Rhinolophus ferrumequinum: one gene and its partner. Each later gene encodes a partner of the first gene's protein in a complex. Links are inferred from orthologs where the notes say so. Each region holds a gene or a part of one and is shown on either strand. Other genes may lie near its edges. The genes, in order: SLC9A1 and CHP2.

Region 1 (3,902 bases):
GTTACCCAAGTCAGTGAAATGGCAGAAATGGCAGACATGGAAGGGGACACAAAGATCGACAGACAGGTGGAAATGAGTAACTGGCCCAAGGTCACAGACAGAGATGGGATGAGAAGCCAAGTTTCCTCACTTCTGGACTGATACCCTCACCATGGCACCATCTCTGTTCTCCAGCTGCCCAGGGTCCCTATTACAGGTTCTGGGAGGGACAAAGCCTAATCCCATTAGAACTGGAGACATCAGGCCTGCAGGGACAAACTCCTGATTGCCCAAAGTAGGATTTTTGTGGTCATGCTATTGCCCCCCCAGGAATCACTGAGACCTGCAGTGCGTGTACTGGCCCCCAGCGCTCTAACACAATGCCAGGTGTGGTTGGGAGGAGAGTGATTCAGAGACGATGCGTGTGAGGTCTCTTCCTGGTCTCACACAAGCAAATGACACATCATGGTCACTTCAGTTTCTTACCACAAATTAAGACACAGGTTTAATGACTCAATTGATATGGTCAAAGGTAGACATTCTTGCCAGTTTCACAGGTGGACGAGACCTGCAGAAAAAGGCCCCAGCTCGTTCAAGGTCATGTATTTGTCAGAATCGGTACAAATGGCTCCCCTTGCCCAGTCCTTGATGCCAGGAAGCTGGCTGCCATCAGGGTACAGATGCCAGTGGCCCAGGTCCATCTATAGGCCCTGCTACTGTCACAGCAGCCAAGCACCGCACCAGGAAGCCAGATTCTGGCTCTGTCAAAACAGGGTGCCTTCCTGCAGCATGTCCCAGAGCCTGCCTCCTACCAGCCTGGCATCACCAATCAGCTCCTTCAGGTCCTCGGGTAAGCTGCAAGGCTTTCTGCCAAGAGTCACAAACGCCCCAAACCCAGACCAGCAGAGTCCCTTGCCTTCTACAGATTAGCTGGGGCTAAAAAAGCAAAGGCAGCTTTCAAAGCACCCCCCCACCCCGGACACACTTCCAGGGACTTGTGAGTGATGCAGGTCCCCGAGAGATAAATCAATCACCCAGCAGAACAAAGTGCTCAGGCCGAGCAGGGAGACAACTTTTCAGAAGGGAACAACTTTTCTGTCTCCTTCTCCCAAAAAGATCGTTTCAAAGTCTCTTCAGACCAGAGCATCCCGAGCCCCTCCACCTGTCCCTCTTCCACTTGGTCGAGCAGCAGGCCAACACTACTGGCCAACCCAGGCAGTACCTTGAGACACAGCCGGGTGGCTGCTAACCTGGAGGTGAGCTGGGGCCAGACCAAGCTTCAACCTCCTCCACCCCCAAAACGGACTTCAGAAATTTCCAGGGCCCCCTGTCCCATAAACTGCATAAGGAATGGCATTCCTGGGCCGGAAACTGACTCAGGGGCTCCTGACCAGCCTGGGCAGGCAAAGCTGACAGATAATATTCCACGGATAAAGTAAGGTAAAAAGGTAGGGATCCCTTGTGTTCCAGCACACTGCTAGGTCTCCAGCACGCAGGTACCCTGCGATACTAAAACTCCTTAAACAGGCCAAGTAGAAATATACTCCATCCTGGAACACCCTCCCATGAAGCGTGTAATTGCACTGGTTGCTGTTGACGGAGCAGAATGTGCCACTTGCTGGAAGACACTCCTCTCTGCCTTCCACGCAGCTGGGAGCCTGGCTCCCCTCGGGGTCTGGCCCAACCAGAGGAGACCTGCCAAGCCTGGAAGCCTTGCTGAAAGGACCCAGTATCAGAAGCATCCCATGCTCCAATCCCCCTCTTTCCCATGCATGATGCTGGCTTCAACCTTGGGAGGCCTCAAACCACAGAGCTCAAGTCTGAGAAGGACCAAGATGGCAGAATGGAGGTTGCCTACATTATAGGAGTCCAGACCCTAACTCCTGGGCAGCCTCAAGTGGTAAGGATGGGGCAAGAAGCTCACCAGGCTGGTGGCAACAGAAGCAGTGAAGCAAACTGGACTTACCTATCTTCATGAGGCAGGCAAGCAGGATCCAGAGGGAGATCTCGAAGGGTCTGCGCACATGTGAGTAGTCGATGTCCAGGACTGGAAAGGCCTTTCGTTGTGTGCTGTGTTCAGTGCCCGAATGGTTAACAGGGTGGCTCTGGGGGGTGGTCTCCGGTGGGGCGGTGGTGACATCCCCAATTGAGCGTTCCCGTGGTGGCTCTGAGCCTCGGATGGTGCTGGCAGTAGGACTGAGCTGGAGGCCATGGCTCCTGAGAACAGGTAGCAGCCCCACCAAGGCTACCATCACCAGCAACGAAGGGAAGATTCGAGGTGGAGAGAGGCCACAGATGCCAGACCACAGAAGCATCCTGCCGCTCCCTTGGCCGAGGAGGCCTGGACTCTTAGCAAAGTGAGAGTCAGACCTGGGACATAGGCAGCAAGGGGTCAGCAGGTGGGAAGAGAGCCTGGAGTAGTCTCTAGGAAAAGTTCATGTTTTAGAGAGGTCGTTTTGCGGAAGCAGTCCTCTGGGGGTGGACAGAATCTGGGTTCTCAATCTAGAACTCCAAACTGGGGAAGAGGCAGAAGGACCCAGGAAGGACCACAGGAGACCTAAAGGTCTGGAACTCCCGGCCAGGGAAAGGAGAGAGAGGAAGGGACAGGACAAGTTGGACCCCAGGCAAGGAAAAGGAAGAGGGGAGGCTGGGACCCTCGGCTGAGCAAAGTGACTAAGGAGAGAGAGGGGAATAGACTACGGGCAGGGGCAGGAAGCCGGAGCTCAAGGAAGGGGACAGAAGGCGGTGGGACCCAGTCCAGGCAAAGAAGAGAGGGGTCTGGGAGCCCAAGCTGCGAGGAAGGAGTGCAGCCGGAAAGCGGTCGGGAGCTTCCCCACCCAGAGAAGCGTCGGGGTGCAGGCGCACCTGGCTGAGATTCCGGGGAAATGGAGGGAGGAGGAAGGCGGAGGCAGGCGGCCTAGCGGAGAACGCTTCGGCGAGGGCTGGGAGCGGCTCGCGGTGGGCCAGCGGCTGCACGCCCCTCCTTGCGGCCCCGGCCCAGCTTCAGGTTCTCCGCGTCTACTCCCAGTCCTACTCCCAACGCCGGGCTCAGCGCCGGCGGCGGTGGACTGATGCCTGGCTGAGCCGGTCGCTGCCATTTATAGGTACCAACGAGCAGCCAGCGCAGCGGGCTAGAAGGAACGTCGGCGCCCACGCAGCGCAGCGACCCCTTGCCGCCGAGGGAAGGAAGTAGCCTGTAGCAAGAGAAAGGACAGAGATGGGGGCGGAAAAAAAGTCCTGAATCCACAGAGATTCTAACACGGGTAAAACGCTTTACTATTTACAAAGCGCTATCACATCCACACCCGCAGTCTCATGAAGGCTTCCCAATAGTCTTGCGAAGGATGTATTAGTATTTTATGTATTTAGTTACCCTGTGACCTTGAGCAAGTTACTCCCTGTTCCACAGCTTTCTCATCTATAAAATGGAAATGGTAGCAGTACCTGTATCAGAGGGATACTGAAATGACTCAATGAGATAATCTGTGTTAAGTGTTTAGAACGGAGCCCAGCACATAGAACTATTATTATAGTTCCAGTTTTGCAGATGAGGAAATGAGTGGAGAGAGTTGCTTAGCTAATATGTAAACTAGTTTGCCAGGGCTGCTGTAGCAAAGTACCACAAACTGGGTGGCTTAAAAAAAACAGAAATTTATTGTCTCATATTCTGGAGGCTAGAGGTCTAAAATCAAGGTTTTCTGAGGGCTGTGAGGGAACATCTATCTGCTCCATGCTTCTCTCCTAGCTTCTGGTGGTTTGCGGACAATCTTTGGTGTTTCTTAACTGTTGGCAGCATAACTCCAATCTTCACATGGTGATCTCCCTGTGCCTCTGTCTCTGGGTCCAAAATTCCCCTGGATTAGGGGTCCACCGATTAGGGGTCCACCCTAATGACCTCATCTTAAATTGATCATCTTCAATAA
Region 2 (3,902 bases), on another chromosome or scaffold:
TGATGGCGTGTGGATGGCAGTAGCTAATTACACTCTGGCCTGGTTTGTGGAAAGTACCGCTGACTCAGAGATCACAGCTGGGGGAGAAGCTCGTTCCAAGATCAGTATCCCGCGCGGGCCTGAGGTGATTATTGCCACGTCCCAGGGACCCGTCTCTCCTCGTAGGTTCAGAAGCTAACCCTGCCTGCACGCACAGCCTGCCATGGTGCGCGGCTGTGTTCGGCTCGGCGGGCTGTCCTCCTTGGGGCGCGGGGGCGGCGTCCGAACGGCTCTGAAAGGGAGGCGAGCATTCCTGTGCCAGCTGTTTAATCCTTGGGCCTCTGAAAGAGAAGCAAGCGCTTCTTAGATCAGTATTTTCAAGGCTTATCTGATGCAAGCCTCTGCCTGGGCGTGGGGCCTCCACTGGTTCTCTGGCTTCTCGCTCCCTCCAGGGCGGGTATGAACTTGAACCCTAATAATGAACGGCGTTTATTTTTCTCCCCCTGGGAAATGTGTGTATTGTGTGTGATTATGATGGGAAGAGGGGGGATGATAGAGTCACACCTGGACACTTGGGTGCTTGTTCCTTTACAACAGAGTTTCTCAAACGTTTTTTCATTATGGTCCCCACCTGAGCATTTTCAGGCCTTCCCCCTCCCCCCAAGGTCCCCTCTCCTATGAAATTTTAAGACCACTGATGTATCTGTTCCTGTACCACAGGTATATCTGTACTTTATACATAAAAAGAGTAAGATTTTTAGCCCCCTTGGGGGCGCTGCTGTCCCCACTGAGGATACAGGCTTTACCTGGTTCACACCTGGCGGCCTTGGCAGGCCCCGCCCACAGAGAAGCAGGAAGAAGGTGCCCTCGCAGGTGCTGTGATGGGCGTGTGAGCTAAGGCTTAGCTCGCGCTCAGCAAAGTGCCCTCTTGTTGTCATTACTATTATTTTAAGCTTGGCCACAGTGCTGTTCGTGACCCTCTCTCAGGCGGTGGCTTTCCACTGCCCTCCGAGGCCGAAGTCATTTCCAGCCGGGAGGGCTCGTGGCAGAGGCCCTGGGGCTCCTACGGCGTGAATTGGGCTGGGTGGGGGCTCTGGCACTGGCAGCCCACTGTCGCCCCCCCTTAACTATGGCAGCTGCTCTCCTACAGCCGCGCGGGCCTAGTGGTGTCGGACTTTTCATTTCTCTGGAGGAGCCGGGAATCCGGGTTTTTGGTTCCATCTCTTGATTTGTGAGCATTGAGTCCATTAAACAACAATAACGCAATATGGACCAAACCAAACAGATGAAACCGAGATACCCTGGCTTGTCCGGAGTAGGTCGCATAGCTGGGTGGCATCCATGTCTCCATGGAACACAGTGGCCACTCTGTGCCTCACGACACTCCCCAGGTCACCCCGCTTTGGGCGTCCATCAAAGCGCCTCCCTCCTGCCGGGGGAGGTGGTCCAGGCTGGGGCCATTCCCGACTGGGAGGAATGCGGGCAGCTCCCCTCCCCACCCGACACCCCTTTCTAGAAGGACCTGAATTCTGTGTGCAGACGAGAAGGTCAGGACCACCAGCCTTCCTCGCGGCCACTGGGAGAGCCCCAGGCTGGAGGGTTGGGGGGGGGGGGGCGCCCGCAGCCGAGCGTGGGAACGCGGACCGCGGAAGGCGCTGCGGGCGGGGCGGGCGCGGCGGGGCGGGACCTGGCCTCGCTCAGCCTCTCTCCGCGCCAACCTCGGCAAGTCCGGGTGAAACAGCCCGTTGTTGGTGCAGCCCTCTGGCCCCGCCACCCTGGGCGTTGCTTTCTATTCGCCCGGGTCACGGGTGGGAGGCGAGGAACGCTGGGGTTCAGGCGTCTGGCTCCCCGCCAGGCCTGTGGCCTTCGGCCCCGGGGGCCACAGGGCGGCCGAGCCTGGGCGGGAACACAGATCTCTCGTGTCAGGCTGCAGCGCTGCCATGGGCTCCCACAGCTCAGCAGTCGCGCGGATCCCGGACGCGGATGACATTCGTCGGGAGACCGGCTGTGAGCGGGGGTGGGGGGCCCTGGGGATGGGGGCTCCAGTGGGGTCCCGAGGAGAGGCGGGTGGAGGGCTGCGGGAGTCCAGACGATCTGAGCGGAGACCGCGGGGTGGGGGGGCAGGGGCGCGGTACCCTGGGCCCCCGGCGTCCAGGTTTGAGGCGGGCCTGGGTTCTCGGGGTTGGGGGCACCCAGGTGTCCTCGAGCCGGGATGGAGGGGGTTGGCTTTGGTCCCCTGGTCTCCCGGGGTATCGCGCCCCTGGGTCTCGTCACGCCCCCTCTAACCTCCAGTTGGCAGCCAGGTCCCCCGTGGAGCGCCCGCGACCCCCGCCACCTCCCGGATGGCCCGGGCGTCAGTCACCCGTCTGCCTTCCCTCCCGCAGTCTCGCAGGCCAGTCTGCTCCGCCTCTACCACCGGTTTCGGTCTCTGGACAGGAACAAGAAGGGCTACCTGAGGTGCGGGAGCTGACCTGTTATCCCGGTCCTGTATCTGTCCGTCCGTCTGTCTGTCTGGGCCCGTCTGTCTGTCTGGGCGCATTCCCCGCGTTGACCCTCGCTCTTTCGTCCGCGTCCTACCCACTTTGAACTTCCTTTGCAGCCGTGCTGACCTGCAGCAGATCGGGGCGCTGGCCGTGAACCCCCTGGGGGACCGCATTATAGACAGCTTCTTCCCGGATGGGTGAGGCGTCTCTGGGGCGGGGAGACAGAGGGAAATGCTGTCAGGGACAGGGGCACAGAGAGGGCCAAGGTGGCACTGCCTCTGCTCCATTCCACGTTCCCCCCCCCACCCCAGGAGCCTGCAGGTGGATTTCCCAGGCTTTGTCCGAGTCCTGGCTCATTTCCGACCTATAAATGAAGAGGATACCAGAACCCGGGACCCCAAGGAACCGGAACCCCTCAACAGCAGAATGAACAAACTCCGCTGTGAGTTGGTGGGGTCCCCCCAAGCAAGACCCCCGATTTCCCACACCAGTGAGAGGCCCCGGGCACCTCCCACTCCCCCTGTCAGCCCACGGAGCCTCCCTCCTCCTACAGGGTGACCTTCTGCGGGAAGAGACCCAGGGAGGGCCCACCTCATTCCACGCTGCTCTCTCCCCAGTTGCATTTCAGCTCTACGACCAGGACCGAGATGGGAAGATCTCCCAGCAGGAGATGCTACAGGTTGGGACACCCGTGTCACCTGCAGGGCGGGGTGGCTGCATGCAGCCGTGTGGGGGAGGGGGGCATGACTGGCATGGGGGTGCAGATGGTTGGGGTGTTGGGTGAGCAAAGGGGGTGCATGGAGTTGGAGTGTGGTTAGTTGGGAGGCAGGGCCAGGAACAGCTGCATTTGAGGTTAGGAATAGATTTGTATAGTAGTTCTCAGCTGGGGGCGATTTTTGCCCCCTGAATGACACGGGCAATGTCTGGAGACATGTTTGGTTGTCACAACTGGCAGGACGGTAGGTAGCCGTGCAACTGGCACCTAGTGGGTGGAGGTCAGGAATGTGGCTAAACACCCCACAGGGCACAGAACGCCCCCCGCCCCCCACAGCAGGGCCTTCTGTGGCCTCAAATGTCAATGGGGCTGAGACTGAGACCCTCTGGGCTCATTGGGCTGAAGTGGGGGTGCGGGTGGGGGAGGGGTTGGACGAGGAGGTGGCAGACGGGGTGGAGGAAGGATGGGGGCTGGGTTCCAAGGCTGGGGTCCAGTCAGGAGCCTGGGCATATTGCCGAGGTGAGTGTGGGATCATGAGGGACAGATGGGGGTCGGATGGAGTGGCAATGGGGGAGGTATTGGTGGATACGGTGGCAAGTGATCAGAATATGGTGCGCAGTGGCTCAGGGACGGATTATGAAACGGGTGGTAACTTTTGGGGTGATGCAGGCAAGCATTGGGGGGTGCTGGTGGTGCCCGTAACCCCCCTCATGGCTGTCCCCTGG

The links.
Region 2: the proteins of SLC9A1 (region 1) and CHP2 are in contact, whole or in part, in a crystal structure (PDB 2BEC), measured with the Homo sapiens proteins. The link is inferred for Rhinolophus ferrumequinum from reciprocal best matches to the Homo sapiens genes SLC9A1 and CHP2. Residues at the interface, in NP_003038.2 of Homo sapiens: Ser517, Ile518, Asn519, Glu520, Ile522, His523, Thr524, Gln525, Phe526, Leu527, Asp528, His529, Leu530, Leu531, Thr532, Gly533, Ile534, Glu535, Asp536, Ile537, Cys538, Gly539, His540; in NP_071380.1 of Homo sapiens: Arg30, Arg34, Leu38, Leu51, Ile54, Ala56, Leu57, Asn60, Pro61, Leu62, Ile66, Phe70, Phe83, Leu87, Phe90, Tyr118, Ala119, Leu122, Tyr123, Met136, Val139, Leu140, Met143, Ile156, Arg159, Thr160, Glu163, Ala164, Phe177, Ser180.

What each region holds. Positions count from the first base shown.
Region 1 is NC_046292.1:18,599,507-18,603,408, forward strand, and holds the start of SLC9A1 (sodium/hydrogen exchanger 1), read right to left. Parts: upstream 3,101-3,902; 5' UTR 2,295-3,100; coding exon 1,946-2,294; intron 1-1,945. UniProt on the Homo sapiens protein: Electroneutral Na(+) /H(+) antiporter that extrudes Na(+) in exchange for external protons driven by the inward sodium ion chemical gradient, protecting cells from acidification that occurs from metabolism.
Region 2 is NW_022680357.1:17,601,347-17,605,248, forward strand, and holds the start of CHP2 (calcineurin B homologous protein 2), read left to right. Parts: upstream 1-1,680; 5' UTR 1,681-1,919; coding exon 1,920-1,986; intron 1,987-2,363; coding exon 2,364-2,436; intron 2,437-2,578; coding exon 2,579-2,659; intron 2,660-2,773; coding exon 2,774-2,904; intron 2,905-3,079; coding exon 3,080-3,141; intron 3,142-3,902. UniProt on the Homo sapiens protein: Functions as an integral cofactor in cell pH regulation by controlling plasma membrane-type Na(+)/H(+) exchange activity.